2 linked regions of the Lytechinus pictus genome follow. The protein of the gene in region 2 interacts with the protein of the main gene of each other region in a biochemical or structural test. Links are inferred from orthologs where the notes say so. Each region holds a gene or a part of one and is shown on either strand. Other genes may lie near its edges. The genes, in order: autophagy-related protein 9A-like and AP-2 complex subunit mu.

Region 1 (16,317 bases), on a different chromosome or scaffold from region 2:
ACAACATTTGCTCCGGTCTTAATATCTCAGAGGGCATACGGTTAGAGTTAGGATTGTGATAGAGTTTTTGGTACAGAACAATGTAAAGATAAGGATTAGGGTTTATTTGAATAGTTTTGGAGGTTAAATTTTATGTTTGGCTTAACGCGCAAATATTCCATGGGAGCAATTGTCGCCGGAGCAATTGTCATGGAACCATACATGTATATTCAACCAATTGCTTACTGAAAGTAACCAAGTGATCCTATACAAATCTTACAGCTGTCGATAATCGAATGTCCAAATACGCAATATCATGCGGTGGCTCTAGCCCTTCATGTATTTAGCATTACCGTACCTTTCCAAAAGGTCACTTTTAAGTGTGTACATGTACATGTAGAAGATCCTGTAAGATATTGCAAACTGAATCATACTTACACTACATGTAAATTCGACCAATAGCTTACTGAAACCAAGTGGTCCCTATACAAATCTTACAGCTGTCGATAATCGAATGTCCAAATACGCAATTTCATTCAGTGGCTCCACCCTTTATGTATTTAGCATTACCTTTCCAAAAGGTCACTTTGAAGTGTATACATGTACATGTACATGTAGAAGATCTTGTAAGATGATCTTTGTAGGTTTGCATGATGGAGTTTATTACGTGGAAAAGGTTTACGGTTCACCATGTGTAATGTGAAGAAGGGAAGGAAATACAGGCAAAAAGATTGAAATTGAAAGACGAGATAAGAGGAAATTAGAAGTACCGGTATTCTTTCTTGAAAGTGAGTGAAGTCCTGAAAAGGACTGTAAACCAGATGAGATGAGCTACTACTCAAACTACTCAAACCATCGCTACTCAAGCCATATTCAGCTCATCTCATCTGGTTTACAGTCCTTTTCAGGACTTCACTCACTTTCAAGAAAGAATACTTCTAATTTCCTCTTTTCATCCTATCTCGTCTTTCGATTTCAATCTTTCTGCCTGTATCTCCTTCCCTTCTTGTAAGATATTGCAAACTGAATCATACTTACACGAGTTCCAGGAGTTGGGCGAGCATCATACAAAGGTATCCATTCCTCTGATGATAGTGGTAGACGTGCATAATGTGGTCAAGGAGGAATTTTATCAATGAAAGTCACTCACAAAAATTACTGGAATGAATCAATGAATCAATCAATCAATCAATCAATCAATCAATCAATCAATCAATCAATCAATGAATAAATGAATGAATGAATCTTTATTTCGTTTCAATTCCGATATTAAACACCATCAACAGTAAGTATACTAAGAAATGATACATGTACACACTATAATTGTTAATTTGAGATTTACATACATGTAGTCTTTGGTAGTGATCCCTTTCAAACAAAATAATCGGCCACTAACTTTCATCCCTGACGTTGATTTCTTTCGAACCTTCACCAGTCTATTCTCATTTTCCCCTCTCACACACATCGTTCTAAATTATCAAGGTTAGATCCCCCTTTTACAACAAGATCTTTATTAATATTATACTCCATTTTATATCACGAATACAATCAGCATATCTGCTTAAAGAAAATGAGAAAAATTCTTGCAAAGGATATTCTTGTGAAGAATTCATCTAGATTCTCAATGTGATTCCAGCGTGCTATAATGAAGAAAGACAAAGAGATAATGAGAGTGACGGACTCCAAACAAGGGTTACATACACACTCTAAAAATTATTCACTGATATAAATGAATAGGAATCCGAATATGTGACATGATCACATGAATACAAAATGAGATCATTATATTTCAAATCAATTAACTGCTCTTCTAAATCCCTTTTTTAAATTCAAAACAGCTTCAAGTATTACAAAAGTTACAGTTTACATGCTTACATTTCTTTTATTTCAAAACAGGAAGGGTGCAACTTCAAAAGTTATTTGCAAAGAAGGAAATCATCTACAATGGGTTCTTTTGTACACAGAAAAATGTGTTTACTATGGCCAAACTCTTCGATGCATAAAAATTGCTACTTTTATCTGAAATGGTGGCATCTCTCATCCCTGTACAGTATTTGATCTGTATCATCTGTTTATATTTTTTCACTAATGCGAGCAAAGCTGAAAACTTTGTCTAGAAATCACATTGAACTTAGAAGAAAGAATGTATTATCCGGGCCCTGTGACACAAAGTATAGCAATTGATCATAGGGCTGCTTATTATGCTTGATTAGTACATTGTCCATTATGTGCAATCAAACATACAAATCAATTGTAAGATCAATTGCTAAAGTTTTGTGATACTGGCCCCTGGCAGTGTACCTTTTCCAGAATCATGAACAACATGGAGCATGACGTCCCTATCCTCCGGCGCGTCGTCCTCGACAGTCTCCAACCGTCTATACTCTGTTTGAAGGGCAGCCATCTTGGAGGGATCCCTCTATGGTTCTCTCCTTCCACGCAAGATTCAAGTCTCTCTTCGTTTCTTCTTGCACATTCAGTATCACATACAGGATTCAGTTTATTCAGTTGATGCTGTTGACGAATGCTTGGAGGTGTAGCTTATTATCATCCTGTAGGCTCTACACTGTAGTCTGGACTTGCTCCTCAAAACCTCCGCCTTGCATGTGCAGGTCTGCACAGAAGTAAAAAAAGCAAATTATTTAAATCAAATTTGTTTTCTAAAATCTCAAATTATCGCCAAAGCAAAACTTCATGGTGTGGATAGTAATAAGAGCATCCAAACTATGCTTTGAAATCGTGAAAAGCTACATCTTAACTGTCCAAATCTGTAAGGAAAAAATTTCATTATCAAGACTTAATCAAATTTCAACATACAAAAGATTCAATTAATTTTTACAATTATTGACAAATAGAATTTTAAGAGAATCTAACAGATAGTAGACCTACATGTATTTGTTCATGCAATGTTATGTACAGGTTCCTGGAATAGAACCTACTGTACGTGTAATTTGTCTGAAGTGAGCAAAGTAAGCACTAAGCTACATAGCTGCATAGTCAGTAGACAATTCTGTAGTGTTGATGTCAATGAGCCAATAGACAACAGTACTACTCGGTCGGAGACATCGCATGGTCTCAGTTGACTGTTTTCTACAAGCCTACGTGTAGATGGCAGCATAAACATCCATCCTGAGCAATTGCTCTCAAGGTTCCTTAAAAAAAAATTGGTTTATAGCATTTCGCGAAAAAAAGTAGATCATCTAATATTTTGATAATCGTTTTGTAAAATGAATGACACAGAATGCATAGTCTATAGACAGGCTCAATTTTACCATCTGCTACAATGTAGCTGCGTGCCTGCAGGAAATGGTTTTAACAGGCATAATTAATAGATCATTTTATTCTTCTGTCTTTACTAAAAAAAATGAAGTACAAATCAATCATTAAAAAACAAAAACAAAGTCAAAGGTAAGAATGAAGAAAAACATTTAAGTGAAGCAAGTAAAAATGAATTATCAACCTTCAATTTCAGTCTTGAATCACAACCTTCTGCCATGTCGGCAGTTAAATAAAAATGTTGCATGGTGTCATTGTCAAGACAGTCATCATCATCATGTCTGATCATATCCTATCAAAAACTTAAAAAATCATAGACATACATGTACCGGTAGTCTTGTAGAGTAGAAAGACAAGTCAATTACAGACAATAGTTATCACTTTATTTTACTAGTTTTACTAGTTTAAGTTTTAGGCGCTAGTGTAGTTTCGCACCTCCCCGTTTAATGGTTTTCAAACATGTACAATCTCACCCTAAATAATTCACAACCTAAAATACTTGCATCTGAGCCTCCAAAGTCCAGTAGAAGTTGAATATTTGCCGTTTTGACACTTTTTTTTTACAAAGTTTTACACCTATTGCGGAATCACTCGGTCGCTTGAAGCTCAGCGCTGCACATAAGCAGTCGGTACGCGTACAGTATGTACCACCTAGTGAAGTGCAAAAAGAGCGAGTTTTTTTATGGTATCTTCAAAAAGATTTTTTCCCCTCTTTCAGCTTGCACCAAGTATTACGGTAGTGGTTGTGCAGAGTGGTTAAATCTACGTGTATTCACATTTTTCACATTTCTTATTTCATTCAAAAAATCACACACACGCACACCCCACACACATACCTTCACACAACAAACATCAACCACTCTGCACAACCACTACCGTAATACTTGGTGCAAGCTGAAAGAGGGGAAAAAATCTTTTTGAAGATACCATAGAAAAACTCGCTCTTCTTGCACTTCACTAGGTGGTACGTACTGTACGCGTACCGACTGCTTATGTGCAGCGCTGAGCTTGATCAAGCGACCGAGTGATTCCGAAATAGGTGTAAAACTTTGTAAAAAAGTGTCAAAACGGCAAATATTCAACTTCTACTGGACTTTGGAGGCTCAGATGCAAGTATTTTAGGTTGTGAATTATTTAGGGTGAGATTGTACATGTTTGAAAACCATTAAACGGGGAGGTGCGAAACTACACTAGCGCCAAGTTTTACTTAGTCTCACTCCCACTCTTTACTGAATGACAGCACTGGCAGTGCCTGCACTCCAGTAAAAAGTGCTGACTTTTAATTTTAGACAGCGCAGAGACTGGAGAGTGCTGTCTCAAATTCTCAGACTCAGAGTATTCTCACTTCATTCTCACTCAGCTCAGTCACACTCAAAAGTCTCAAGTCAGACAAAGTCATCTCTCTCTTGAGTCATGTAATATCCTTCCTCCATTCAGGTCGGAGATCGAGCCAGAGCTCGAGTCAGACTCAGAGAGTCAAGAGTCAGAAAGATCAGAGCCAGGCAGAGACACTCACTCACTCAAGTCTCAGCTCACTCATGGGATCAATGCATCTCGCGTGCGAAGGATTCATATGCACATGGTGCACGCGAATTTTTCACACCCTTTTTACTAAAATAACTATGCCATTCCTTTTAAAATAATGTTTCTAATTGTGCTATGACACTTACCGAACCATATGGATCGTTTCTTGTCTTCTCTTTGGTGTGTTTTTAAGAAAAAAAAAGCATTTTCTCGTGATCTTCACGTAGATACCGCAGGGTCATCGTGGTTGTAAACTTTTGCTTAAAGAGGGCGCGCGATATTATTCACAAGATGTTTGTTTACGGTTCTGCAGCTTGTACTGCTAGCTGCATTTTAGACGCTCAGCATTATTTTCCTCTTTCTGTTTTTTTTTTGCTGTCAAGCGGTATTTTCTATTGTAGCGCCATCAGCGATGATGAAATGTAAAGAGTCGCCTTGAAATGAAGAAAAATTATGTCACATTAATTCGTTAGTTTGTTTCCTATTTTTTTGCACTTTTTTCTTCTTCCTCATCTATGATCAAAGGTGAATACTTTTTTTTGATATCTGTTTTAAAAGCTGGACATTTTAAATATTTTGTTCAAGTAAATAAATCAACAGGATAGTAATCAAAATGCGATAGAGCTGCCCGAGCTGAAAATTCTGATACAAGGACTTGAAAATAAAACATTCTGAGCACTTTTTATAACCATGATGAGGAGACCTATATATATATATATATATATATGTATATGAAATAAGCTAACATGAAAAAAAGACGTTTTGGGGACTGTTAAATAAGAATTCACGAGTGGGATAGGTAACTATCTATTCTATTCTTGTTCGTTTTCTATTATTATTTGTGTGTTGTGTTTATTTTTCTTGAAGCACCAAAAGGTGGACATGTCCGCTAAGATATATTAACGAAGTCACCATTATTATCACAAGCTAACGGATCAAAATGCGAGCGTGAAACGTGAGCTTCTTTTTTTCTTAATTCAGTCTTAACGATACTTTTTCATCATATTTTAAAGGTGAATCTCATGATTCAAAATGATAAATGCTTGTCGCACGGGCAGAAATAGCGGGACCAATAGTTATTTTCAATATTCCGAACTGCATTCTGGACGTTGTATAAGCGCCTTTGTATAACAATTAAAAGGGTAGGCCTATTTACCTTACAAATTATGCGAGCGCTGAACTTTTGGACATTTAAACCTCAACAAATGGACATTTTTAAAATATGAACAACATCATAAATGTCGCTTACAAAAATGATGCCAGCGCGAAGCTCACGCTTAGAGTTTTTGATATTGATGACAGGACTGTATCTAAGTGAAAAATAATGCGAGGGCATTTTCGCTTAAGATTTAAATTTGGGATTTGAAAAGTCCGACAGATTACCTATACTTTTAAAAGAGGAATGACCTCCAGAATTCAAGCGCGAAGCGCCAGTAGATTTATGTTGAAGTTTAGACCTACAACAGGAACGTTGAACCTTTATAATCATGAAAAAGATGGTATTTTTATAAATAAAACATGGGAGTCTAATTTTGTTTTAGTGTTAATATTCAGATCTTCAAACTTGACATTTTCCTATCCCCTTCATCATCCCCTCTCCTTCTCCCTTTCCCCATTTTCGTTCTCCCTTCTTTTCTTCTCTCCCTTTCCCTTCCCTTTTTCGCTTTTCCTTTCCCTTCTTTTATTTCCTTTCTCCCTCCCCTACTCTTTTCTCGCTCTTTCCATTTTTCTTTCCCTCTCCCTTCCCCTCTTCCTTTCTTTTGTTTTCTTTCTATTTTATGGTCTCCTTTTCCCTCTCTCTCCTTTACCTTTCCCCCTCCCCTGATCCGTCTTTTCTTGTCTCTCCTTCCCTTTCCCGCCCCCTCCATTCCCTTTCTCGCTTTTTCCTTTCTCTTCTTTTCTTTCCTTTCTCCCTCCCCTACTCTTTTCTCGCTCTTTCCATTTTTCTTTCCCTCTCCCTTCCTCTCTTCCTTTCTTTTGTTTTTTTTGTATTTTATGGTCTCCTTTCCCTCTCTCTCCTTTACCTTTCCCCCTCCCCTGATCTGTCTTTTATTGTCTCTCCTTTCCTTTCCCGCCCCCTCCATTCCCTTTCTTGCTTTTTCCTTTCCCTTCTTTTCTTTCCTTTCTCCCTCCCCTACGACTTGAATCGAGAATGTTCGATAGGAAAATTTCGCATTTCGATTGTTGTTTGCGTAATTTCCACCGCAGTATGAGGATGACCAAGGACGGATCAAACGAAGTATCCTGGTTGAGATTTGGAGGTAAGCGATAAAAACACTTTACTTTAGGCCCTAATAAATAATTTATAATTCCTTTTTCAAATATACTTTAATCATACGATCAAGATTAACATACCGGTACTTTAGTGGACAAATATTGAATTTGAAAGGCTTGGCGTAGTTTAGTCCCTCACATTCGTGTGATGAATGAAAACGTCAAAATGCACTATGTGAAATCACATGTGTTGTGCGAGGTTAGTAATACTAACCTCGCATGTTGTGTGAGTGGTCTCAGCTCAGCTCACTCATCTCATTCTCACTCTCACTTCTCAGACTCAGTCACTGACTCAGTCAGAGACAGAGACAGTCTCAGTCTGAGTCAGACTCAGAGTCAGAGTAGACAGCTCGACAGGGTCAAGTGAATAACAACACTTCGACAAATGATTCAAGAATCAGCTATTCATTGTTATGAATTCAGTCAGAGTACAGAGATGTAGATCTACTTGCCTGTATATTAACGAAATTTACAATAGAAAATCTAGTCTGTTTAATGCACTGTCATTCAGATTGGCGATAAACTTCCCCGATCGACGGTCGATCACCCTTGTTTTTGTTTTGGTCTTCGAGAATAGAATCCTTGCTCAATCTGTAAAATAGTATTATTTTTTTAATATCAAAATGAATTATAAAATATTTGTATGCCTTGAAACTTGATACAAAAACAATTTTATTAAAATAAATTTATATATTCAAATAATTTTCTTGCCCATCTTGAAACATTACACATTAATAATGTGATTACAAATAATAAATAAAATGAACGAGGTGAATTATTTGAAGTTTTAGATTAATTTTTGTTTACTTTCTGAGTACTATTCACATTTTCACGGAAATCCTGTATACAGATTAGTAATCGATCCGTACATTCTTGTTAAAATTTTAAATAAATATAGTCTTTAAACATTTTATGAATATCTTTTTTTATTTTTTAAAAATTATTATAGTTATATTTTTTTTAATACTTGGGATTTTTTATCGAATAATAAAATAAAAAATTATCTAGAAACTAATTGGCACTATGATAGAAATTGTACAATAAAAATTAACGCTAGTAATCAACCTGATATTTCATTTGCCGGCCGTCGGCGGTCAAGTTCAATGCTCTTCTTCGTCGAAAAAACAGGTAGGAATACTTGATGTATACACATTTCCATGGATTTAAGTTCATATTATCAATCGCATAAAATAGACATCCAATAGAAAATTAGGCAGTTGGGGTCGACTTTGTCTTTGGAATAATTCAGTCATTTGCCAAATCATGCTTCAGAAGTTCACACTTCATACTCATAGTTCATGCTTTGCTCAGTCCCATTCGTCTGTTTTGGCGTCGGTCATCTTGGTTTATGCTAGACCAAAACTTTTTTTCAGAAGTTATAGGGAATTTCTGTAACTTTTAAGTAATTTTTATTACGTTTTACTTTTAGGACTTGAAGATCATTTATGTGTTTTTAATGACAAATTAAGAGCTTTCTAAATTTTGTGGTCCAGCTACCACTACACTCCAGGAAGTGTCATGTGTGGGAGCCGAAAGAAAGGAAAAGAATGAAAGAGAGGGCCGAGGGAGAATAGAATCAAGAATGAAAAAAAAGAAAATAATGGAAGGAGAGAAAGAACGACAAGAAAAATGAGAGGAAGGGAGAATTTTGCAGAAAGAAAGAATGAAGATTGATCATTGACATTGTCATTGACATTGATGATTGAAGGAAGTTAAAAAAAGAAGGAAAGTATAGGCCTAATTAAGACTAAGTAAGAGAAAGAAGGAAATAAATTAAAAATGAAAAGAGAGAGAGAGAAAGGATCAGGAAAGAAAACTAGGAAAGATGGGAACTATAGATAGGCCCTAGATGGAACCAAAAAAAGGCAAGCGGCAAGGAATTTGAAGGAAGAAGGATAGAAAATAAAGAAAAAAGAAAGGAAGAGGAAAAAAGTTAAAACTTCAAGCAAACAAAAAAGAATCCAATCATCTAACAAAAATCTCAATGATTTTTGGGTATGAAATTTTATTAATATAAAAATGAAAATAAAAACTAAAATGTTTTACATGTACTAGGCCTATGTAGAAATAAAAAACATGTCAAAGTGAAACATTGTCAAACTTAAAAAATTAGACAAAACATTGTGGCATTTATACACACAGGCATGCATCTCATCCCATTACAAGTTCGCACCCGGGCCGATCACAACAAGACTCAAAACGAAAGCTGAAACAATTGGATCTAGTTAATGAAAACTCAATAACTTGCTCCTCCGATCACATCACCAAATCAGTAATCTGAGAATCCATGACTATAATTATAAAAAATTCCTGCCAATTTTGTGCCAAATTTGGTGGAAAAACTGTTTATCATGTAAGATTGTTTGCACCATTGAGAATCTGCTCCGATCCTACATGCAGGGCTCGACATTAGCAGTGGCCCGGGGCAACCAAAAATGAGAGTCGGGCCACCAAAATTCTGTAAAAGCCAACACTTGGTGGCCCAGTCGGGCTACCAAAGTTTTGATAAATTGTAATGTTTCCTATTGTTTTAGGGCCACCAAATTCACTTTGCGGGCCACCAAAAATATGAAATTGATGATTTTGGTGGACTGATCGGGCCACCAAGAAAAAAAGTTAGTGTGGAGCCTTGCTACATGCCTAGGTAAACAGGCAGGAGGCCAGTGGAAGCACATGCATGCAGCAGCTAGTACATGTATGCTTTGTGTTTGTGTGTAGATCGTAGAAAATATAGATCTACATGTACGTAACTATTAGTTTGCAATGAATTGGGTAGCAAGAAAATCACTGCAGAATTTGCAAAATTTACAATTAACAATTGTATTGTCGTCCCTGATTTGTCATCTGTTGGTTATTAGATGAAAATTCTTCACTTTTCTATGTATTAATTATATTTTGTTCAATATTCTGAAAAAAGGGACAAATAGGCATCCAGGGAAGGGTTTGTCGGGACGACGGGACAAAGGAGCAAAATATGGGACGATCCCAGGAAATACGGGACGTCTGGTCGTCCTGTTTCAGGCCAAAACGGAATAATAATCTTTATTTTGGTCTAGTTCTTTTTATATATTTTTATGAAATAAAGACAAAAATCGATGAGCAACGTCGGGGGGATTTTGCATTGTTAACCCCCTAATGGCGGCTGCACAATCGCAAGCCGTCTGTGTATGAGAAATTTTAAAAAATGTTTAAAAACTCCTCGAAACAGATGGCTGCCAGCTGTCGACATGTAGGTTTGTGCCTGTCCCAGGGCCCAGTTTTTTTTACATTGATCATAATGATTAAAGTGTTTATATGTTTCAATCATGTCACTCCTAACCTTTGATACGCCAGAGTTGGGATTTTTAACTGTTTTAGTCGTTGCGGATAGGAAAGCTTCCTTAAAGGACAAGTCCACTCCAACAAAAAGTTGATTTGAATAAATACGAAAAAAATCCAGCAAGCATAACACTAAAAACTTCATCAAAATCGGATGTAAAATAAGAAAGTTATGACATTTTAAATTTCGCTTAATTTCACAAAACAGTTATATGCACATCCTGGTTGGTATGCAAATGAGGAGACTGATGACGTCATCCACTCACTATTTCTTTTGTATTTCATTACATGAAATATGAAATATTCTACTTTTCTCCTCATTGTCAAGTGGAACAATAATTAATTCCTCCCAAACACGTGGAATTGGCATTGTTTAATACTATATGATTCAGTCAAGTTTGTCCTTATTGTCAAATCTGTAAAAAAATAAATATTGTATAATTCAAACAATAAAAGAACAAAAGAAATAGTGAGTGAGGGACATCATCGTCTGTCTCATTTGCATGTCACTGAGTTGTGCATTAGTGCTGTAGCCGAACCGCCGAACCGAACGGTAGTTCGCCGAACATGGCACTTCCGAACCGAACAGAACCGAACCGAACACTAAGACTTGGTTCGGAAGTTCGGCAAAAAAAACGGCTTTCAGCTAATAAATTTATAAGTTTACACCCTTTCTAATCATTATATTTGCGCATTCTCTATTTAATCTTCTTTGCAATTGTATGCGCTTATTTTGCGGTTACTAGATTTTGTTTTCATTTTCATGTTGACATTGTGGTTTTTACGGCCCTGATAAAGAGAGGAGATCCGATGAACGATGTTGCGCGAGCTTGCGCTATAATAATTTTACTGGCTTTCATCATCTCTCGCTCTGTGGCCGAATCGCCAAAGCATGGTAAAGAAAACCAAAACTGTTTGAGTGTTCATTGGTTAAATCTAATTATCTAAAATATTGTTGTTTTTAGGTGGCGAACAAGATTCTTGTTTGAAAATCTTCAAAGTATTTTGAATGAACGAGCTCAATAAACTGAAAGTGAAAGATGAAGTACCATTAATATTACGAATTACGATACGATGTGATTAAGATCGTAACTCGTTTATTGTTGCGGCGGAGAATAAAGATCTGATTGAGGTGATTTACATTATTATTGAGGTGTCGGCTCGCTACTGTCTAGTTTTCATGATTTTAGAGAGAAGTAAAGAGTTTTGAAAACGAGAGATCCAGTGAAAGTGGGAAATAAAGTGAGTGACTGTTAGAGATGGAAAGGAGAGACGCAAAACAAATAATATAGAAATGAGATGAGGTGAAGTTATCTTTTTTATTATTAACAATCAGATGAAAATAAAAATCAAACACTCATGAATGATAACGGTATAGAATATAGCAAGATCCCCTTCCCCTCGTTGACAAGTTAGATGAAGATAAAGCCATGCGGAAACATTCATCTCTTGGGGGAAAATGACCCCCATTCTTTACTTTTTTTTCCCTTTCTTATCAACTTCTCAAATTAACCATAAACAATTCGATGATCACTCTACTCCCCCTATCCCATTACAGTCGTAAAACTTTGCATCCCACTTGGTCTGTATGTTTATGGTCGAATGAAATCTGACCAATGAAATCATAGAAATCTCGGGAATTGCTCTTCAATCAGTGAGCTGAGTTTCGCGAGCAGACAAAGCACGTGGCTGTATGTACCGATGCGACAATCAGCGACATGCGATTGGTGGTTTAGTTCACCCATCGAGCCAATTAGCGAAAGGCGCATTACATAAGCACGCTTTCTTCGACACGCCCCTGGCCCAACTATGCCTACAGTTCAGTGCACTGGCGCTGGCCGCCTCCTATGTGATGCAATTGCCAATCACGTTTGGACGGACTGTATATATAAATATTCATGAGCTCAGAGTCCCGCTACAAGGGGACTGCATGCGCTGGCATGGCCTAGCTGGTACGAGTGCGAGCGTAGTTAATTTGGCAAGTATCCAAAGTGTGGTCCAGGTATGGACGACTAGGAAGAGTCGCCATTTTAGAACTGTGAGTTACCCAATAAACCTGTCATCAGATAATCAAATTCGAGATAACAGTTGATTCGTTGAGCGCTATAACTTTCATAGTTTCATGTCAACAAGATAGAGATAAAATGGTTTGATGTGACAGAGGTACACGCGAGCACATGCAGTCAATCAAGTACAAATTGCTACCAGTACGCTACGTACCTGAATGAACTATAGCTTTATCAGTCTATCATTACCGAACCCCGAACCGAACCAATGTTCGGCAAATTTCTGCCAAACCTTGCCGAACCGAACCGAACCCGAACATGGCGCCTGACTTGCAGCACTATTGTGCATATCACTGTTTTGTGGAAAAATAAGCGAAACCTTAAAATGTCATAACTTTCTTATTTTACATCTGATTTTGATGAAATTTTTAGCGTTTTGCTAGTTTGATTTTTCTTTACTTATTCACATCCAAAATTTTCTGGGGCTGACTTGACCTTTGATTCAGGGACTATGAATGAATGAATTAATGAATTAATGAAGAAATAAATAAATTACCGGTAATAAATGAATTAATAAATAAATAAATTAATTAATTAATAATGAAATAAATAAATAAAAAGTAGAAACTTGACTGCTTAAAAAAAATGCCAATATCGGACATACATTGTAGATCTACATATGTACTTTCCAAATTTCAGACACATTTAGCGTTACACATCGCTTCCAGCAGTTGAAAAGCTTAATCATGCTCTAATTACATGAATGATTGCATTTTATGCTGAAATAAAAAGTCATCTTTACAATTGCTATGGAAAGTAGTTGCACAATTGATGGGCCAATCGCTCTGCATGGTTTCAATTGTCTTGATGCTAGAAATTAAAAAATCTCACTCTCTTTTGTTTTATTCTTCCTTTCAATTCTTCACAAAGCATGTGCTCCCTTGCTGAAGGACCTCCCCCTCCTGCAGACGGATGTATCACTGTCTGTGAAGAGAACGGAGATTTGGTCACCATTCATGCCAGCAATGCCCCTGTAAATTACACACCAAGGATTGCTGTAAGTTAGAATACTATACAATTATTCAGGAAAGTTGGACGTACACCTACCTGCTTGTTATCTGCATGTTTTCATTTGCCCATTTTATTTCTCATATTTTGGTGGTTGTTCCCCCCCTCTTTTTATATTTATTGGGGTTGGACGGTGAGGGAGATTTTTTTTCTTGATTTTATGTCCTACAGCTAAAGTAACTTATTGATACATGTATGGTCGTAATGCTTTTGTATTATAGCCTAATGAATATAGTCTGTATTTTTTTTTTCATTTTTGTTGTTTTCATTTTATTTGGAAAAGGAAAGTGTATACAAGGAATTATTTTGATTTTTAGATTTTATTAGTTGTTGGTTGTTTGGGAATCAATAATCTATAATCAGTTTCTGTAAAGTCTAATGTAAAAGCAAACATTTTGACTAATCAGTCATCTAAACAATGCATCACATTGCTAGGCGATGCCAGGAAAATTGTTTACAGGTATTCAAAGAAATATTTAGAATTCATCAGTTGAAAAAGAGAAAAAAATAATTTTTAATAAATGATTTCATGACTCCATGAGCATTTACAAGGTGCCATCAATATTTTGTCAAAAAAATGTATTTTTCTAACATATTTTATTATTTTCCCCTAGGGTTTTGAGTACCCTAGCATCAGCACCTCAACCGAGACCCTCTGCTCCCTGGCGACAGATGAGGCAGCCCAGTCTGCCTTTCAACCTCATGTTGATGAAGTATCGCTTTGGAAACAAGCTTGGTACACTTGCCGTGTTCATGGTGTGACAGAGATGCTGGACGAACTCTCTAAAAATGACTCAGGTATCGGTGTGTTTTGAAAAATTTTACTTTTAATTAAATCATTTATATCACAGTTCCTTTGAAGAACATTCTCCAAATGGCCTGGAGGGGTACATGTAGTAGTCCTCTTGGAAGTTTTCCTCTGGGGAATCCATACTCTGGGGAGAGTTGTTCTAAATGGGAGCTTATCATTTCTAACACGAATCCCATCAACTTCTAAGGGCACACTAGGGATTTGTCCTCTTGAGGAGTTGTCTCCTGTGGAACCTTTGCTTTGGGGAGATATATTCTCAAGGGAAGATTTCTCCCGGGGACAGAGTGCCTTGCAATTATTTAAGTTGTGAGTTTGGAATCATGTGTGTGGGAGTCATCATTATAAGATGTATATCAGATACATTTTCATTGATTTAATGGGAATGTGCTGAATAATTTTCGCTTTGAATTAGATTGGCCTTCCAATTTCAACGCAAAGTATCCCTTTTGCAATGCTTAGATTGTATCTACACAGAGATACCAGTCTCCAATGTGGTACCCTATTTCAGGCCCTGACAATTTCCCATGTTAGGCATTTTCAGGCAATATTTCAGTACAGCACTTATGGAAATTCAATGTGTTCTGAGGCCTGTAACACAAAGCTTAGCAATGATCGTAGAAACACTTTCCTGCGATGGATACCATTGACTACAATACACAATCAATCGTGAAAATCAAGCATACAATTAATTGCTAACCTTTTGTGTTACGGGCCCCTGGGGAGCATTTCATGAAAGGATTTGTGGATGTTTTATCCAACAGTTGCTGTAGTAACGGTGCTTCTCTGCCAATCAAAATCAAAGAAGTTGCCGGATCTAGCATCTTGTCGGATGAGAAATGTTGAAGAAATGCTATCCTGGCTTCTTTTCAGGCCTAGTCAGCAAAAACGATTGGCAAATCATTTATTTAGGTACAGAAACTATATATTTTCATTTAAAGACATGGTCCAAGCTTCCATTGATCATTTAACAGAGTTTTTTTACCTCCCATTATTCCTTCACCAGCTCCTTGGCCTATCACTATGCTTGCCTGTGGATGTCGTAATACAGTGACCTGGGCCAATTCATTCAGAGGCTCTCTCTATCCTCATTTGATGGTAAGGTTGTCTTCATGGTAAATTGTCACTTGGTCTATACCCAATTTGTATACTTTCTATTTGGTCTCATCCCGCGTGGTCTAATCCTAGTTCGTTCATAGCCAGTTCGTCTACCAGCCATCAATGTGTTGTGTTGTGTAAAGCCCATTTATCACTTTGTCCACTGAAAGGCACAATTAAAATTTTGTAATGTAAAGATGCCGTTAAAACAGAAATGTGCCCCCCCCCCCCCCATTGAAAGTGAAGACCTTTTTTTTTTTTTTGATTGTCAAATTTTTCCTCGGGAAAATGTGCCCCCCCCCTTTCGAAAAATCCTGGATCCGCCCCTTTTTTACTGTACATGTCTTATCTATGAATTTCCACTTGGTCTAACACCCTAATAGTCAACAAGAATATATACGTACTTCGTATGAACCAAATTTTCATTTGACAAAGTGAAAAATGTGGAAATTAGACCGTCTGGACATGAGACCTATACCTCAGTCACATTTCCCCTACTGTGGCCATACGGCGACTCGAAAACAGCAGTTTTAACATTTTTTTGTACCAGCTACATGTAGGTGGTTTGAATCAAAATGAATAAAATGGCTGTCTTCGACTCGCCGGAGGGGAAATATTACTGAGGTATGAATGACAGTTTAATAGACTAAGTAATGGTTGGACCAAACGGATATTAGACGAAGTAGGTTTAGGCATGATGGCGTTAGATGATCTGAGAATTAAACCATCTACCTGTAGTCGAAGTAGATGCAAAGTTACAAACCATTTGAATTGCTTGGAATAAAGTTTCATTTATTGTAACTCATCACCCAATTCCTTTTTTTTTTCAAACTTGCAAGGGTAATATTCTCAAAGTTGTCAAAGTGTATTCTTGTTTCCTGATAGAATGCACATGATGGAAAATTGTAGTTCATGCTATTAAAATTTGTCAAGGAATAGAAACTTAAAAAGGCCTTCTTATGTAAC
Region 2 (16,228 bases):
TGGTGACGGGGGAACGCACCTGCTGGCGCGCATGGATCACGTTCACACGGAACGCATCCACCGCATTTCGCCTGTAAAGGGAAGGAAAAGACCAAGGGTAAAATAATGATGGAATGCTAAGTAATGTTTTGAGAAAAGATCATCTCTTACATGTGAACAAGTTGCTTTTTCTATTGTTCAAAATAATAATATACTTCACATCTTGCAGAGTGAGTTTCCTCACACCCCCATTCTTTTATCTATGGTGAAATGTGAGGAATAGCAATCAAAAGACACACTTGAGGAATTGTACAGGACATGACATCAAAATCTAAAGTTTATAGTATTTAATCCGTTCATGCTGACTTTATCCAGATGCATGTAACATTCAGTTTCATACACAATCAAATTACACAAGACAATGCACTTGCTTTTGGAAAAATATGGTGAACGGGGAAACTGCACTCATGTGTTGCATAACAGACAAAACATTGTGGCATTTCCTTTATGCTGGAATTGCCTATTAGCAGGGTTTATATGAAAGAGATTACAATTACCCTTTGGATGAGGTACTTACATGTAGTGTATGTGACTATTACTATTTTGATGTTCAACATATTTTTTTGTGTAACACACCTAAATATAATAATCACTAACCACAGATCATCATGAGACAAAATTATATGAATTTAAATTGTGGGAAAGGTGAATTAAATTTCCATAAATGATGAGCTCCTTTAACATCAATTAAGAGCATGATGCTATCCAAAATTTGAGATGCAAGGCTTGTTGTCATCCCAGACACAGGAGCATTTTAAAAACTTGGGAACCTCATACTCACCCTATGTCATCCCGAAAGACTCGAGATATCAGGACCTCCCCCTTGTGGTTGTAAATAAACAGACCTCCTAACATCTTAGACTAGCTCATTGTCCTGATTTAAAAGAAAAAAAAAATAAAGAAATGAATGAATTATGAATAACAGTTGATCATGACAGCTACATGTACAGGTTGTGAAATAATTATTAGACTTGGGGAAAAATTTTAGCTCCCATATGGTTAAATCGTATGGGAGCTTAAATATTTCCCAAATTGTACATGTATGTGCATCTCAAAAAAAAGGAAACATGTCTTCAGAAGGTTTCATAATCAATAAATATGTTTAGTTCCTAAAATGACAACAAGGAGAGTGAAATCTCTTCGATTTGAGACCTAATACTTCATAAGTTCACTCATTGTAGATCTACTCAGGCATGTAAATGTAAGAAACAAATTCCACAGAAATTCATGACGTATTCAGCACTTTGAATGTGGACACAAACAGAAAGACAAGAAAATAAACTTAATCCACTCTCAAGAACAGATAAAAATTCAACAAAATACAAAAGATAATGTATTTGCAACTGAGCCATCCATTCATTCTTATATGGAGCCCCGTAAAGTTGTTTTTAGAGAGACAGAATATCAGACAAGTAGATACAAGAAGGTGAAAGTTTGAACAATATCTAACAAACAATAAGTTAAGAATTTTTACAAGTTGTAAAAATTGTTAAAGGGATGGTCCGGGCTGAAAATATTTATATTTTAATACATAGAGTAGAATTCACTGAGCAAAATGCCAACAATTTCATCAAAATCGGATAACAAATAATAAAGTTATTAAAGTTTAAAATTTAGCAATATTTTGTGAAAACAGTCGTCATGAATATTCATTAGGTGGGCTGATGATGTCACATCCCCACTTTCCGTTTTCTTATGTTATTACATAAAATCATATTTTTTTCATTATTTCATACTTGTGTGAATAATATTTCTCCCTTATAATAAAATAAGTTGAAGCAATAAATATCTAATGCACTAAATCAGTTGTCAATCAAATTTTTCTTGTTCTTGGAGGAAAAAATTGAATAAACCTATTTTCATATAATAAAATACAAAAGAACAAGTGGGGATGTGACATCATCAGCCCACCTAATGAATATTCATGACGACTGTTTTCATAAAATATTGCTAAACTTTAAAATTCAATAACTTTGTTATTTGTTATCCGATTTTGATGAAATTTTTGGCATTTTGCTTAGTGAATTCTACTCTATTTATTAAGCTATAAATACTTTCAGCCCGGACCATCCCTTTAAGCGCTATACCTATGGAGACTTCAAATATGCCGTATTGGTGAAGTCATAAAGATGAAAGGCAAGGACTACTCTGCCTTCTCTCAACCAACATTTTATAACTAAGGCTGCATTCCAAAATACACCAAGATAAATATAAAAGACTCAAAAGGAAAACTAAAAAGATTACAACACCACTGTGATCTCTTGGCATTGTGGCGTGCGCCTGTAGCCCAAGATACATATGGAAGATACAAACTGATGGAGAGTTTTGAGCCCTTGTCATGTCTATCAGATGGTGAAACAAAGCCAGGTCGGTCCCAGTGCTTCATGCGTGGTGTAATTCTAAAAATATCAGCAAGCGCTTGGCGCTCTCATTAGATGGCTATGGTGAGATATGTATGCTCTTTGTGAATTCATAAAAAATAGTCCCTAAAAGTCAAGTCCACACCCAATTTTTTTTTATTAGAATCAATAGAGAAAAATCAAACAAGCATAATGCTGAAAATTTCATCATAATCGGATGTAAAATAAAAAATTATTATATTTTAAAGTTTCACAAAATGGTTACGTGTATATGCACATCACAGTGATATGCAAATGAGAGGTGATGATGTCCCTCATTATTTCTTTTGTTTTTTGTTTGAATTATACAAAATTTCATTTTTTATAGATTCGACAATAAGGACCAACTTGACTGAACCATAAAATGCTAAAACAATGGTAATTCCACATGTTCAGTGAGGAGAAAACTGTTTTACAGGACAATGAGGAGCAAATAAGAATATTGGAAAAAGTTTCATATGCACCCCCCACCAAAAATAACAAGACTTCCGATTTGTTCACTTCAGATTTTTCTATCATTTTTTAAATGTTGCTTACCTTAGTTGGGACTCGAACTCACCTCATTTAATCTGCAGTCAAGACCTCTTCCCACTTTGCTAGCGAGAAGCGCTGATACCGGAATGGGAATTTTAACAATTATCAGCCGATAGTTCAATTAGTCTGGACTCACAGACCCTTTACTGACTAAATAAACCAATGTCTATGGACATTCTGTCAAATTTGACAGAATAAAGCCATATTTTGGTATGTATTTCCACTCCCCCATCATATATGTTCTATAATAGGGCTACATATATTATTCTAAACCTTATCCATGTTTTTATTTCCAATTTTAGTGGGGAGTGCATATGGGACTCTTATATATCATATTTCATATAATAAAATACATAATAGTAAGTGGGTAACGTCATCAGTCCCCTCATTTGCATACCGACCAGGATGTGAATATATTTTTTTTAATGAATTAAGCGAAACTTGAAAATGTCATAACTTTCTTATTTTACATCTAATTTTGATGAAATTTTCAGCATTATGCTTGTTTGATTTTTCTTTTATTCAAATCAACGTTTTGTTGGGGTGGACTTGTCCTTTAATAATCATCTCTCATTGAAATACATCTGTAAAAACCTCACAACACACACTGCATATCCCGATATGCGTGCTGTAGCCTTGGCGAAAAACAAAGAAAACCAGATGGCGACGTAAACATCGTGGCAAGTTTTCCCCATCTTTTCATTTTTATGATATTATTCGACCGATGCAAGTATTTCACGATTCATGATATTTATCGGCCGATGCAATTTATTTTTTAATTTAAATTGGCAGCTACATGTATACACGCGTGTGGTTTCTAGGTATCGATAACAAAGACATCAAGATGGCGACAAAAAAAGACTGGATAAGTCAACGCTCGTGCTCTTAATTATTTTTCATATTTACTACTATCTATTGAATAAAATATACAAACATATTAAATTTGGGGGGTAAATATTGTTTTGGCCCATGTACGTTAGTTTGGGCTCAAAATCCAAAGCAAAACGTGTGATTTAGGTCTAGTTTCACCATGGGAAAACCTACGGTGTGTAGAGACCAATGGCTAACCGAACCCACCCATGGGTTCATATCATCTCGCATGCGAAGGAATATCAGTCATATGCACGCGACACACACGACACATCCAAAATATACTGGGCTTTTGCCCACATAAAATATCACGCATAATCTGGTATTTCACATTCTGCTATGACACTTACCGAATCATTTAGATCCTTCCGTGACTTCTCCTTGAAGTTTCTTTTAAAAAATGTGTATGTTTTCTTGATCTTTAGTGAAGATTTCACGGAGATACAAATTGGTCAGCGTGGATATCAATTTTCGCCTAAAGAGGGCGCGCGATTTATATTCATATCAAAGACACGACAAGGGAAAGACTAGGCACCTACACTATTTTACACGCAAATCTACGCAAGGCATTACGCGAAGTCCGTGAAGTGTCCAATCTTTTCATTGTATAGACTTTGGTATACCGTATTATTGACGTTCGTTAAAGCTTGTACTGCTGGTTTCGTTCCAGGCATGTGTATTTTTTTCAATTTTTTTTATTAGTCATCGTTGTAAATTAATTGCAAAAAGTGTTATCATCGCCATTAGTAATCTTGAATTATGTTTTTGAAGGTATTTCATTTATTGGTGCCCATAATTAGTAAATTAATCATAAGAATTGCGCATCCAAAGAATTTAGACACAGTTATAAAATTACCAAGGAGCTGAATCAAGGTTGTGAAATTTATTAGCGCCACCAACGGGCTTCCTTGTATTTCCGTAGAAGAGACAAACGAAGTCACTTGCTAGGCCGAGATAAGCGAAATTTGCTCTTTTTGTAATGAAATTATTTCCAAATCGTATGTATAATTTTTTTATGTATTGCTACTTACCGAAAAGAGCCCCGGTGCGTAGCGAGAAGGAGTTTCGGCAAATATTACTTCAGCAATGAAGTGATGTTTGCCGACTACTTCGAAATCTAGGGTCAAACACGGTCCCTTGTACGAGGTTAGTGTATATACTAACCTCGTATTAGTGTGAGTGAACCGAACCAGGCTTCATGGAGAGTACATGTAAGCCTACGTACAGTAGGCCTAGATACTTTTTTACTCTCCAGAACTTGGCCTCCAGCCTCCACTGCTCCAGCTCAGGCGAAGTATGCACACGTTAGTGAATAATTTTTACTCTCTAGTCTCTAGGAGCCTTCTGGCTAATTCTAAAAACAGAGTTAGCCCTTGTTGTAAGTAGGGGGGAAAATACGCATTTCGCACTGCATCGTAATCCAGGGGCCTGTTACATGAAAGGGTCTTTCGTAGAACCATTCTACGTAAGAACGAGATATCGCTCAACTGTTTCACAAAGCCGATTTGGGCGATACGAAGAATGGTCCTTGGAAAGACACCTCCAGACATGTCCTACGTAGGCATGATCTTCTTTGCACACCGCCCGCCACCGTCGGCATTGAGAGAAAATTCGTTTACGGCAACCCACACTGACATATCACCTTTAAACATTTTTTGGGGTTGCACACTGATGCATTTTATCTGGGATGGTGCCAAGTTATTTTTTATATGGGGGCTAGTTGTCATCGATTTCAGGTCGTCTTTTTGCACGGCAAGATGACCAAAAACAGATGTCATTTTAACTTCTCCGGGCATTATGTCCGGGGTAATGTAGGCCCAAATATTTTTTTTAATATGTTTTCTTTTATTCTCCGTCCTATATCCCCACACCATTTCCATTAAATTTTTTTTTGAAATATCGAAATGGGCGGCACTATCTCTCTGACCCCTCATGCTTTCTCATTATAGATAATTAAACAACATGAAAACAAAAGAAATTATGTAAGGTAAAAAAAACGTGTTCATAACATTCAGCAAAAAAAAAACGATACAAAACTAAAATGTTAAACATGGTAAATCATTCATTTATTTTTATTTCATTTTCATTATAATAATATTTTTTGCTGAGATTAATTCTAATCAATGAAAATTAATTGTCGGATTTGGGCTAACTTGACTGTGAAACAGTGAAACAAAGCAAAAAATCAGCAGTAACAAAATAGCTAATTGAATTTAAGATACAGATTAGGCATTTAGCTTACGAGTCCATCACAATTATTACAAATGAAGATAAGCTAGTTCATTAAAGAAAAGATTATGGAAAGTCCATACGAAGAGGCACTTTTTAAATCGTAGGGTAGGCCCTTTCGGCCCCTATGTAATGTTAAAGCAATAATGTAGACTCTACTCCTCAACTTTGAAATGTTGAACATATAAAATTTTTATAGTTAAACCTTATATTCTTATATAAGCTTCCATAAACTTTGAAATATCAACTTTAAAGATGACCAACGTTTATGATCATTGTAATATTTAGCATTATTTCTGTAAATAGTATTTTTTCCATTGCAGATTGCACACCTTTTCTATGTTTTAATTGTTATTGCAAAGCACTCCATGCACTTGGACATGTTTGCAGCAATTTTCATATTTTCCTTGTCTTCGGTTACTCATCATGCAACCGAGGTATGTTTATACTCTAAACACTCACATTTGTATTTCTTGCGTTATATCTGACAAATAAAATAAATAAATTAGATTTTTCACAGCCACAGGCAGCCTCTCATATTTTTCTTTTTAGTCTCATACAATCAGACACTGTTGATTTTGTTTACTCCATTCAAACCCTATTTTTACCTCAACGGATAACATATTAACGCATAATTTGCAAAATCATCATTATACATAATATGTACCGTACTACCGGTATTCTATAAAGAATCAGTAGGCCTAGGCCTATATTGAACTAATAAAATGTCGAAATTACTTAGTTAAATAAATTTTTAGGTCGGACAAGGGTCTCTTTCGTTGAAATATCAACGAAAGGTGTCTCTAAAAGGACACCGTGTTCTACATAAGGGAAATAATGAAAATTTCGATTTTATCCAGTTATGTTTGTGAATCTTGAAAGTTTTTTCTCTTTTTACCCCATAAAGATTAAAGTACGCTCCATACATCAATTCTACAATCAGTAATAAATAAAACATTATTGATCCCCTTTTATTGAAATATATGATTTTATAAAAAGTCGTCATTCCGAAATAAAAGGTTCAGGTGACGATGAAGACTAAATATTTTTCCGATACTATCGATATCAAACGATGTCGCGGACTTGAAAGACAAAATTGCCTTCGTGAAACGGCAAGCGCTGATTTGTCGCCAATCTTCCTATCTTGGGAGAATGGTCCTAGGACGTTCCTACGTATCGCTCATCTCGTCATGCAACAGGCCCCAGATCCAAATATGATTCAACTACCCTGAAATACACATTACAATTCTTCCGCGTACGGTATTCATTCTGCCACAGACAGTGCCAGAATTATGCGGACGGGCACGGTACAGAGAACAGAAAGTTACTCAATTGTAAATTCAGCAAATTCTTTTCCAAATAACACACTTTAATACATATCATACATTAACAGGAATGTTGGGATACGTTTCACTAAACAAGAAAATAAATATAAATAAGTCAAAATTGTGTTTTAAAAGAAGAACACACCCACCTTTCTACCTTCACACGGCCCGGCTCTGTATCAATTCCTGTATAATGCATGCAATTAAGGCAGCGGAAGTACAGTTGGGCGGATCATGCAGTTGACATAAAATGGTCATAGATGGCGCTAAAAGAACGATCATCGTAGGTACATTGGCTCCTCAAAGAATAATGATATGAGCAGATATTTCTTTTATTCATAAAGAAAAAATAAAAATAAAAATAGATTTTAATTCGTCATGAGGACGAATTAGGTGGTCTGTCATCATTCTCCATAGAGCTAAGTAATTTCGAATAAATATCTCTATAATCATAATCATCACCATCATTATCATTATCACTAACATTATCACCCCATTATCACTTACATTAATCATGCTTTACTCATCCTTAATTTTGCCTTATTTAAACTACAGGATTCTTATTTGGGGTACCCATCAATATTTATCAGATAAATTGTTACTTTTGCAAAAGAAAGCACTTCGTATTATTTACAGTACAGCTTTCCGTTCTCATAGGGACCCACTTTTTCTAGAAAGTAAACTGTTGAAAGTCAAAGACCTGCATTTACTACAGTTAGGGCACTTCATGTATATAATAATAATACACTTCCCCATATTTTTTATGCCATGTTCCTACCCCACGAAAGTAAAGTCATTAAAGTAAGAAATTGATAATTTTTTTAATTTTTAGGCTATGGCAGCCATTTTGGACGCCATCTTCCCTGGTCTGCCTATATATTCACTCTAACCTGTATATCAATAGATCTTTTTATCCCTTTAGAACATGAAATATGCACCGAAATTGGATGTCTAGTGTGGATAGTGAGTGAATTATGTCAATTTTCTGTGAATGGCGGCCATTTTGGACACCATCTTGGATTACGGAAAACCCTCAAGGAGGATTTATGAGGACTTTTAGTATGGTATTCTATATAGACATATTCCCGGACCTATCCTGAAAAAATCAGCTTTTTACCAAAAATTTCCATGCTGTTGGCCTAAAAGTTATTTTTGTCTAGATAAACAAAAGTTCGTCTGATCAAACCCAATAGCCTGTTGGCCTTTTCTATATTCGATTGCATGTGCTCTTCAAAGCTGAGTTTATCATCAATTACAACATCCAATTAAGTCCCTTTCGGGGGTTACATGTTCAAGCGCATCATTAAAAAAAGTGTATACAAAAGCTTCCTGTCGGTCCTGCGTGTTACCAATAGAGAGTACACTACATTTCTTGGGGTTGAATTTCAGCAGCCATTTTTCTGACCAGCATTTCAGATGATCAAGATCTCTCTGGAGTGAATTGCATGTCATTCTGATCTCTTATATACTTGTTACACTCTTATTACTGAATTACATTACTTCCAGTAACAACATCTGGGAGATCATTGATATATAAAAAAAAATAACACAGGTCCAAGGACACTCCCTTGCGGAATTCCGCTATCTACATGTCCCCAACTTGAGAACTCGCCATTCACACACACTCTCTGTCTCCTTCCAACAAGAAATGCCTCAATCCATCTAACCACCTGTTCATTTATACCAAAACTACGGACCTTTTCAAGCAGTCGACGGTGAGGTACCTTGTCAAAGGCCTTCATAAAATCTAAATAAATCACATCGATATTGTACCCCTTTCTTCAAGAGCTTGAGACCACTCATCAACAACATTAAGCAACTGCATGAAGCATAGTAGAACGACCAGGCAATAAGCTCCAAAACTCACTATGAGCTCCAAAACTTTTTGAAACGGTACAGTTAGTCTTTCAGCTGTCTTACAGGAAATTCGTCTTTTGATGGTCTTTCAAAATGTAATTTATTTAGATTTTATGAAGGCCTTTGACAAGGTACCTCACCGTCGACTGCGATGAACTTTCAAAGTTCTTATTAGTCTTTCCATGATCTTTCGACAGTCTCTCAAGATTTTTGCGGAGATCACCGTAAGACTCATGAGAGATCATTGAAAGACCAGGCAAAGTCCATGGAAAGAATTCTGAAAGATCACTGCATAAAAGATCTCTGAAAGACCATTAAAATATCTCGATCTATAGGACTAGTCAAAGCCCAATAAGACAAGAAGTACCAATCAGTTTTTAGGAGTTCTTTGAGGGGTCTTTCTGAGCCATTCCAAAGGTCTTTCAAAGGTCCCCTTTCTGTGGAATGGGGGCCTTAATAAAAATGAAAAATAAAGACAATATTTCAGAAAGAGTAATCCCTCAGCTACATCATATCGAAGATTTGGCGAAAACTGACCAATATTTACAGAGTTAGAGTCATATTTGCATAATTATGATGACGTCATAACACGCAAAATTGAAATTTTTAGTACTGACGTCATTTTTATGACGTCATGATATAATTGATGATCGAATGAGACATGAAATCATATCTGTGATTTATACTCCATCAAAATAGAAAAAAGGGTCCCCATTTGTTTTGAAGAAATATATACAGTGAATTTTCAAAAAGCATGTTTTTGGCCATATGGCCTATGGTTAGAGGTTAGAGCTCGCGCGCACGCGTGCTGCAAACTTTAATGGGTGCTCATTCCTTTATTAGTGGTCGTAGAGAGTTGATTGAGGTATAAAATTGCTTGGAATTAAATCATTAATGCATTAATGATTAATGATTATATGTTACGTAATGCCGTGACGTACGAAAATGCGCGCGCAAAATTTTGAAATGCCTAAAACGTACTCAAAATTAATAATAGTCGATTTTTAGCATTTTTAAATTTCGATGCGCGCGTCATGACCTTTGATGACATGTATAGTTGACCCTTGGCCTAAAGTTTATTTTTGTAAATATGATAGATTATTAATGATCCATTATGATGATATGATAAATTTTAAATAATGTTACAAAATGGCGCCTATATGACGTCATCATGAGGCCTGATGACCTTGAAAAGCTTACTATCGCGTGTCTATGATAGCCTGGGCAGCATTTAATTGAAGGACTGGTTTATCACAGTAACAGCGATTCTATAGCCAATCAAGGAAATTTGTGAGGACTTAAAGAACAAGTCCACTCCTACAAAAACTTGATTTGAATAAAAAGAGAAAAATCCAACAAGCATAACACTGAAAATTTCATCAACTGATCAAAATCGGATGTAAAATAAGAAAGTTATGACGTTTAAAGTTTCGCTTAATTTCATAAAACAGTTATATGCACATCCTGGTTGGTATGCAAATGAGGAGACTGATGACATCATCCACTCACTATTTCTTTTGTATTTTATTATAAGAAATATGAAATATTCTAATTTTCTCCTCATTGTCAAGTGAAACAGTGATTAATTCCTCCCTGAACATGTGGAATTAGCATTGTTTAATAATATATGATTCAGTTAAGTCGGTCCCTATGGTAAAATCTGTAAAAAAATGAAATATTGTATAATTCAAACAATAAAAAAAAAAAGAAATAGTGAGTGATGGACATCATCGACTGTCTCATTTGCATGTCACTGAGTTGTGCATATCACTGTTTTGTAAAAAAAATAAGCGAAACTTTAAAATGCCATAACTTTCTTATTTTACATCCGATTTTGATGAAATTTTCAGTGTTATGCTAGTTTGATTTTTATCTATTTATTCAAATCAACATTTTGTTGGGATGGACTTGACCTTTAAATATGGCATGACATTCAATAAAATTGGCATGACCGATTTTGAGAAAACTTGGCGAAAAACATTGCTGCAAAAAAAAAAAAAAAATAGGAAAGCCAGTATCATCTCAGACCTTCCCATCCCACACAGAAGACATTATTTTGGTTGTTGTGGCGCTGGTGATCAATGATAATGATAGGTAGAGGTAAGATGTTTCTACATTTAAGGAAATGGGAAAATCTGAATTAAAAGAATATATAGGGAGAGTGAGGCAAAGGTATATATACAACGAGAGACAAAACCACAAAAAAAAATACAAAAAAATAAATAAATACGGAGAATTGTAGTCCCTTCCATGTAGAGTATAGGCATAAAAAAAGGGGGGAGGGTGCTCCTAACCTGGGGACAGGGGGGGGGGGGGTTGGGAGGTAGAACAACACTTTTTATATTTTTTTTCTCTCTTATCATTCATACATCTTGTTAATATTTCATTTTGTAATTGCTGAAACGCATTAGTATTAATTTCTAGTATCTTTGAAGTTTGATGTATAATTTGTATAATTATATTGTTATGGATTTATTGTATAATTTATAATCATGTTTCAAATAGTTTGTACAACTTGCTTATGGAATGTGAATGTTTATTTTGATTTGAGAGAATACAATAAAACATCCTTTAAAAAAAATTATGAAATTAAAAGGAAATTTAAAGAAGAGGAATGGGAAGAAAGAAGGCTGGCTTTAGGTAGAGGCAAGATGTCTCTACATTTAAGGAAATGGGAAAATCTAAATTAAAGGAATATATAGGGAGAGTGAGGCAGAGGTATATAAACAGCGAGAGACAAGACCACAAAAACACAGAAAAAAACAAGAACAATACGGAGAATTGGAGTCCCTTCCATGTAGAGTAGGCATAAAGTGGAGGGCGCTCCTTACCTGGGGACGGGGGGGGGGGGGGTGGGAGGTAGAATAAATCTTTTTTAATCATTTTTTTCTCTTGTCATTTAATACATCTTGTTAATATTTCATTTTGTAATTGCTGAAACGCATCAGTATTAATTTCCGGTATCTTTGAACACTGTAAAAACTGTGGTGTTAAAACTGACACCAGTTGGTGTTAATAGAGGACCACACCCTGAGGTGTTAAAATTACACCCTAGAGATTGAACATGACACCAAAGAGTGTAAATGTAACATCCCAAGGTGTTGTAATAACACCTATGGGTGTTAAAATAACACCGTCAATTTAACACCGGTGTAAAATAAAGTGGTGTGGTCCTCTATGTACACCGGTTAACACCACAGTTTTTGCTGTGAAGTTTGATGTATAATTTGTATAATTATATGGGTTATGGATTTATTGTATAATTGATAATCATGTTTCAAATAATGTGTAAAACTTGCTTATGGAATGTGAATGTGTATTTCATTACTTGCCTCATTATCTAAAATTCTCGAAAAACTTATACATACACGTACAAGTAAGTTCTTTAATAAACATAATATCTTTTCACAATTTGGGTTTCGCGAAAATCATAGCACTTTACTTGCAATTCTGTCTTTTATTGATAAAATCACTACTTCCATAGATAAAGGTTTTCATACTGTTGGTATTTTCCTGGACTTCTCCAAGGCCTTCGATACCATTAACCACGAAATACTTCTTTATAAACTTTCCTTTTATGGTATTAGGGGGAAGGCCTTGGAGTGGTTCAGGAGTTACCTAACAGATAGGTCTCAATTCGTATCATTTAACAACGTTATTTCTTCTACTCTTCCTATCACAGGCGCGTAGCCAGGGGGGGGGCGGTGGGGGCGGTCGCCCCCCCCCAAAACGTCCCCAAAAAGAAAAAAAAAGAAGGGAAAAAAGAGAGGAGAAAAAGGAAAAGCGAAGGAAGGAAAGGAAAGAAAGGTAGCTTTGTGGGTTTTTCCTTTTAATCTTTATTTTTTTCTCAAAACAGAAACTCCTTCACTCTTGCTCTAAATCTATATATATGAATTTTGCTTCCGCGCTGCGCGCGGTTAAATGACAATATTGCAGTTCTCCTTTGTTTCCCTCACCCTTTCTCTAACCCTGTTTTTCCATCTCAGCTATATGTGTTTCTTGCCAGTTAAAGTTCAAATATATACCGTATGGGTACTAGTATTCAACCCGGCATAATTCAAAGATTTTGACATATTCCCCAAAATATTTAGAAATAGGGAATTTATCTTAATTTCACACCTTTATTATTTCCAGGGTAATCTGTTGTCGATATTTTCTTTGTCAATCTGTCGACTGTATGCGCGGAGGATCGAATTATGCGGCGATGGCCTTTTGCACTGAATGGTACTAGTATTCAACCTAGTGAGGATTGATAGCAAATCTCAAAAAGGTTTAAATTGCTAAATTAGATCTAGAACTATGTAAGTCTCTGGCTTTGATTAATTCCCAATCCCTGTTTGGTCTCATCTCAAATGGTCTAGTTCATAGTCGGATGGGACAAGGGCAGATTGAGAGACAAGGCCATCTTTCATCGCTAGGTTGAATACTAGTGCCGACGGGTTGAATACTAGTACCAAAATCCGTCGCCGTATAATTCGATCGCCCGCGCACACAGTCAACTGGTTGAAGAAAAAAATAACGGAAAAAGAATAACCAGCATTTGCTCTTGGAAATAAGACGGGTCTGAAATTCAGGTAAATTCTATATTTCTATATATTTGAGGAAACTCTCCAAACGGGTTGAATACTAGTGCCCTTACGGTACTTTAGGGCATGAAATTAGAGTAAGGATAGACCGAAGTACATGAAGTTATCTTTTTTTAATTGGTCGCGCAAGTTGGGTCGGCTCCGGGCGAGTATAATCTTTATATCAATTTCTGCCGTCACCTCCATATAGGCAACTTCTCCCGATTTTCAGCTCATTACTATACAACCATAATTGGGGGCAAACAGGTTCCTAATTTAAAAAGAGGAAGGTATAAAATTCGTGTCGTATTAAATATAAAAAAGTACAATATTTTTTTATCAAATTCTACTAAACTTCATGTCATTTCCTACACATTCATCTCCTGTCTTGTTTTGCGCCCTCAGTTTTGAATGACACTTAAATTTCTTTATCATTCAAAATGAAGCGCATCAGGATATTTAAGTCAAATAAATTATACATCATCCTGTTTTATACAATTTCAATAAATCACAAAAGTTTCAACTTTTTGCGCACCATTTTCCTTTTAATGAAGTTCAATAATCTTAGAGGGAAAACAATTGACGAAACGTCCGCCCTAGCTTTGAAATTTCAGAGTTTCATTGCTCTGCGCGGGGAGGAATATCTTCCTCCCGGCATACATCCTTCTTCTCTGTTTTTCGAGTTAAAGATATGCACTGTCGCTAAATTGTTTGTAATCAAATCTGATCTTTCCAAGGGAAGTATTCATTACTGATAACTTAGAGAATACCCTTTTCTCGGGACCCTTTTCTTTAAAAAAAAAATGATAAAACGCTTTAGCTTCCGCACTTCGCGCGGGTTCAATATTATTTAAATTTCCTCCATTTTATCCCTTTTTTGTGCGTTCACAATTACTTTTGAAAACAAGGTTCAAAATCACGATATAGTCAACTGAATTGGGGCTGATATAGATGGATACTAGAGACAAGAGAAACGGCTCCTTTTCATTTTAATTTATGAAACACCGAAAGCTTCGCGCTTCGCGCGGGAGGGGGAAACTCCCCCTCCCTGCACCCACCCCCTAGGGAGCGCGCTTCGCGCGCTCTGTAAGTGTTCGCACGCTTCGCGTGCATTTACCGCCCCCTCCAAAATGAAATCCTGGCTACGCGGTTGTCCTATCACATGCGGAGTACCTCAGGGTAGCTTACTTGGCCCTCTTCTTTTTATTACTTATATCAATGACATTAAAAAAAGTTCAAATTTACTAACATTCATATGTTTGCAGACGACTCGAATATTTTCTTTTCTCATGATAACGCAAATCAACTTGTAAGAATATTATTGTAAACTCTGAACTCATACATGTAACTGACTGGATTAAGGCGAATAAACTGTCACTTAACCTGCAAAAGACGAATTATATGCTTTTTAGTAATAAAACACATGCATTACCTGACAATCTCATTTTTGATAACACCGTTCTTGAAAATGTATCACAGACCAGATTCTTGGGTGTTACTATTGACAATAAGCTATCATGGAAACCACACATTGATAATATATACAAAACAATTTCAAGAAACATCGGAATTATTAACAAACTCAAATATTTTCTTCCATCTCACACTTTACTTACATTATATCATTCATTAATATTACTATACATTAATTATGGCATTTTGGCATGGGGTTGTGCAATCCAAACACAATTACAAAGGATACTGTTGTTGCAGAAGAAGGCCCTTAGAATAATTTTTCAAACTAATTTCAGATCACACACAGATGTCCTTTTTTTCCAAAATAATATTCTTAAAGTGAATGATTTATATATTTTCCAACTCGCCCAATTTATATATAAACTAAGTAAAGGGGATCTCCCCACAATTTTTTCAAACATGTTCTGTAAAAACTCCTCTATACACGATTACCCAACGAGACAACGTAATTGTTATCATCTACCCCCAACCCGTACTCTATCAGCAAAAAACTCTTTCGTCTTTTTTGGACCAGTGTATTGGAATTCACTGCCCAATGACTTTAAAGAATCACCAAGCATTAATATTTTCAAGCGCAAACTTAAAAAGATGCTAATTTGTCAATACTCCACACCAACAAGTCAAGCTAATATATAACTGTAACTAAACGTGTTTAAACCTAACATTTAATTATCAATAAATTTGTCTAATTATATATTCTAAATAATGTCACTACAGTGCCCTATGACATGTGTACCTGCCATGTTCCTCCTTCCATTTTCAGCTTTATTTGCACCACCCTTTTCTCGCTCTCTCCTTCCTTTGCCTCCCTTTTTCCACTCTTATAAATTCTATTAAAAAATTTATCATTATTATCGTTATCCATTACAATTATTATCCTATCCTTTCTTATTATACTTTCCACTTTTTGTTGTCGCTTATCCGCTCTATTTTG

The links.
Region 1: the proteins of AP-2 complex subunit mu (region 2) and autophagy-related protein 9A-like interact in a biophysical measurement, tested with the Homo sapiens proteins (4 studies listed by BioGRID and IntAct, with this or other methods). The link is inferred for Lytechinus pictus from reciprocal best matches to the Homo sapiens genes AP2M1 and ATG9A.

What each region holds. Positions count from the first base shown.
Region 1 is NC_087257.1:16,389,762-16,406,078, forward strand, and holds the start of autophagy-related protein 9A-like, read right to left. Parts: upstream 7,642-16,317; 5' UTR 7,506-7,641; intron 2,594-7,505; 5' UTR 2,384-2,593; coding exon 2,281-2,383; intron 1,620-2,280; coding exon 1,576-1,619; intron 1,083-1,575; coding exon 1,018-1,082; intron 1-1,017. Other genes in the region: aladin-like, read left to right, coding at 13,309-13,434, 14,060-14,243, 15,260-15,351. UniProt on the Homo sapiens protein: Phospholipid scramblase involved in autophagy by mediating autophagosomal membrane expansion. Cycles between the preautophagosomal structure/phagophore assembly site (PAS) and the cytoplasmic vesicle pool and supplies membrane for the growing autophagosome.
Region 2 is NC_087258.1:28,021,268-28,037,495, reverse strand, and holds the start of AP-2 complex subunit mu, read right to left. Parts: upstream 7,659-16,228; 5' UTR 7,546-7,658; intron 914-7,545; 5' UTR 895-913; coding exon 821-894; intron 72-820; coding exon 1-71.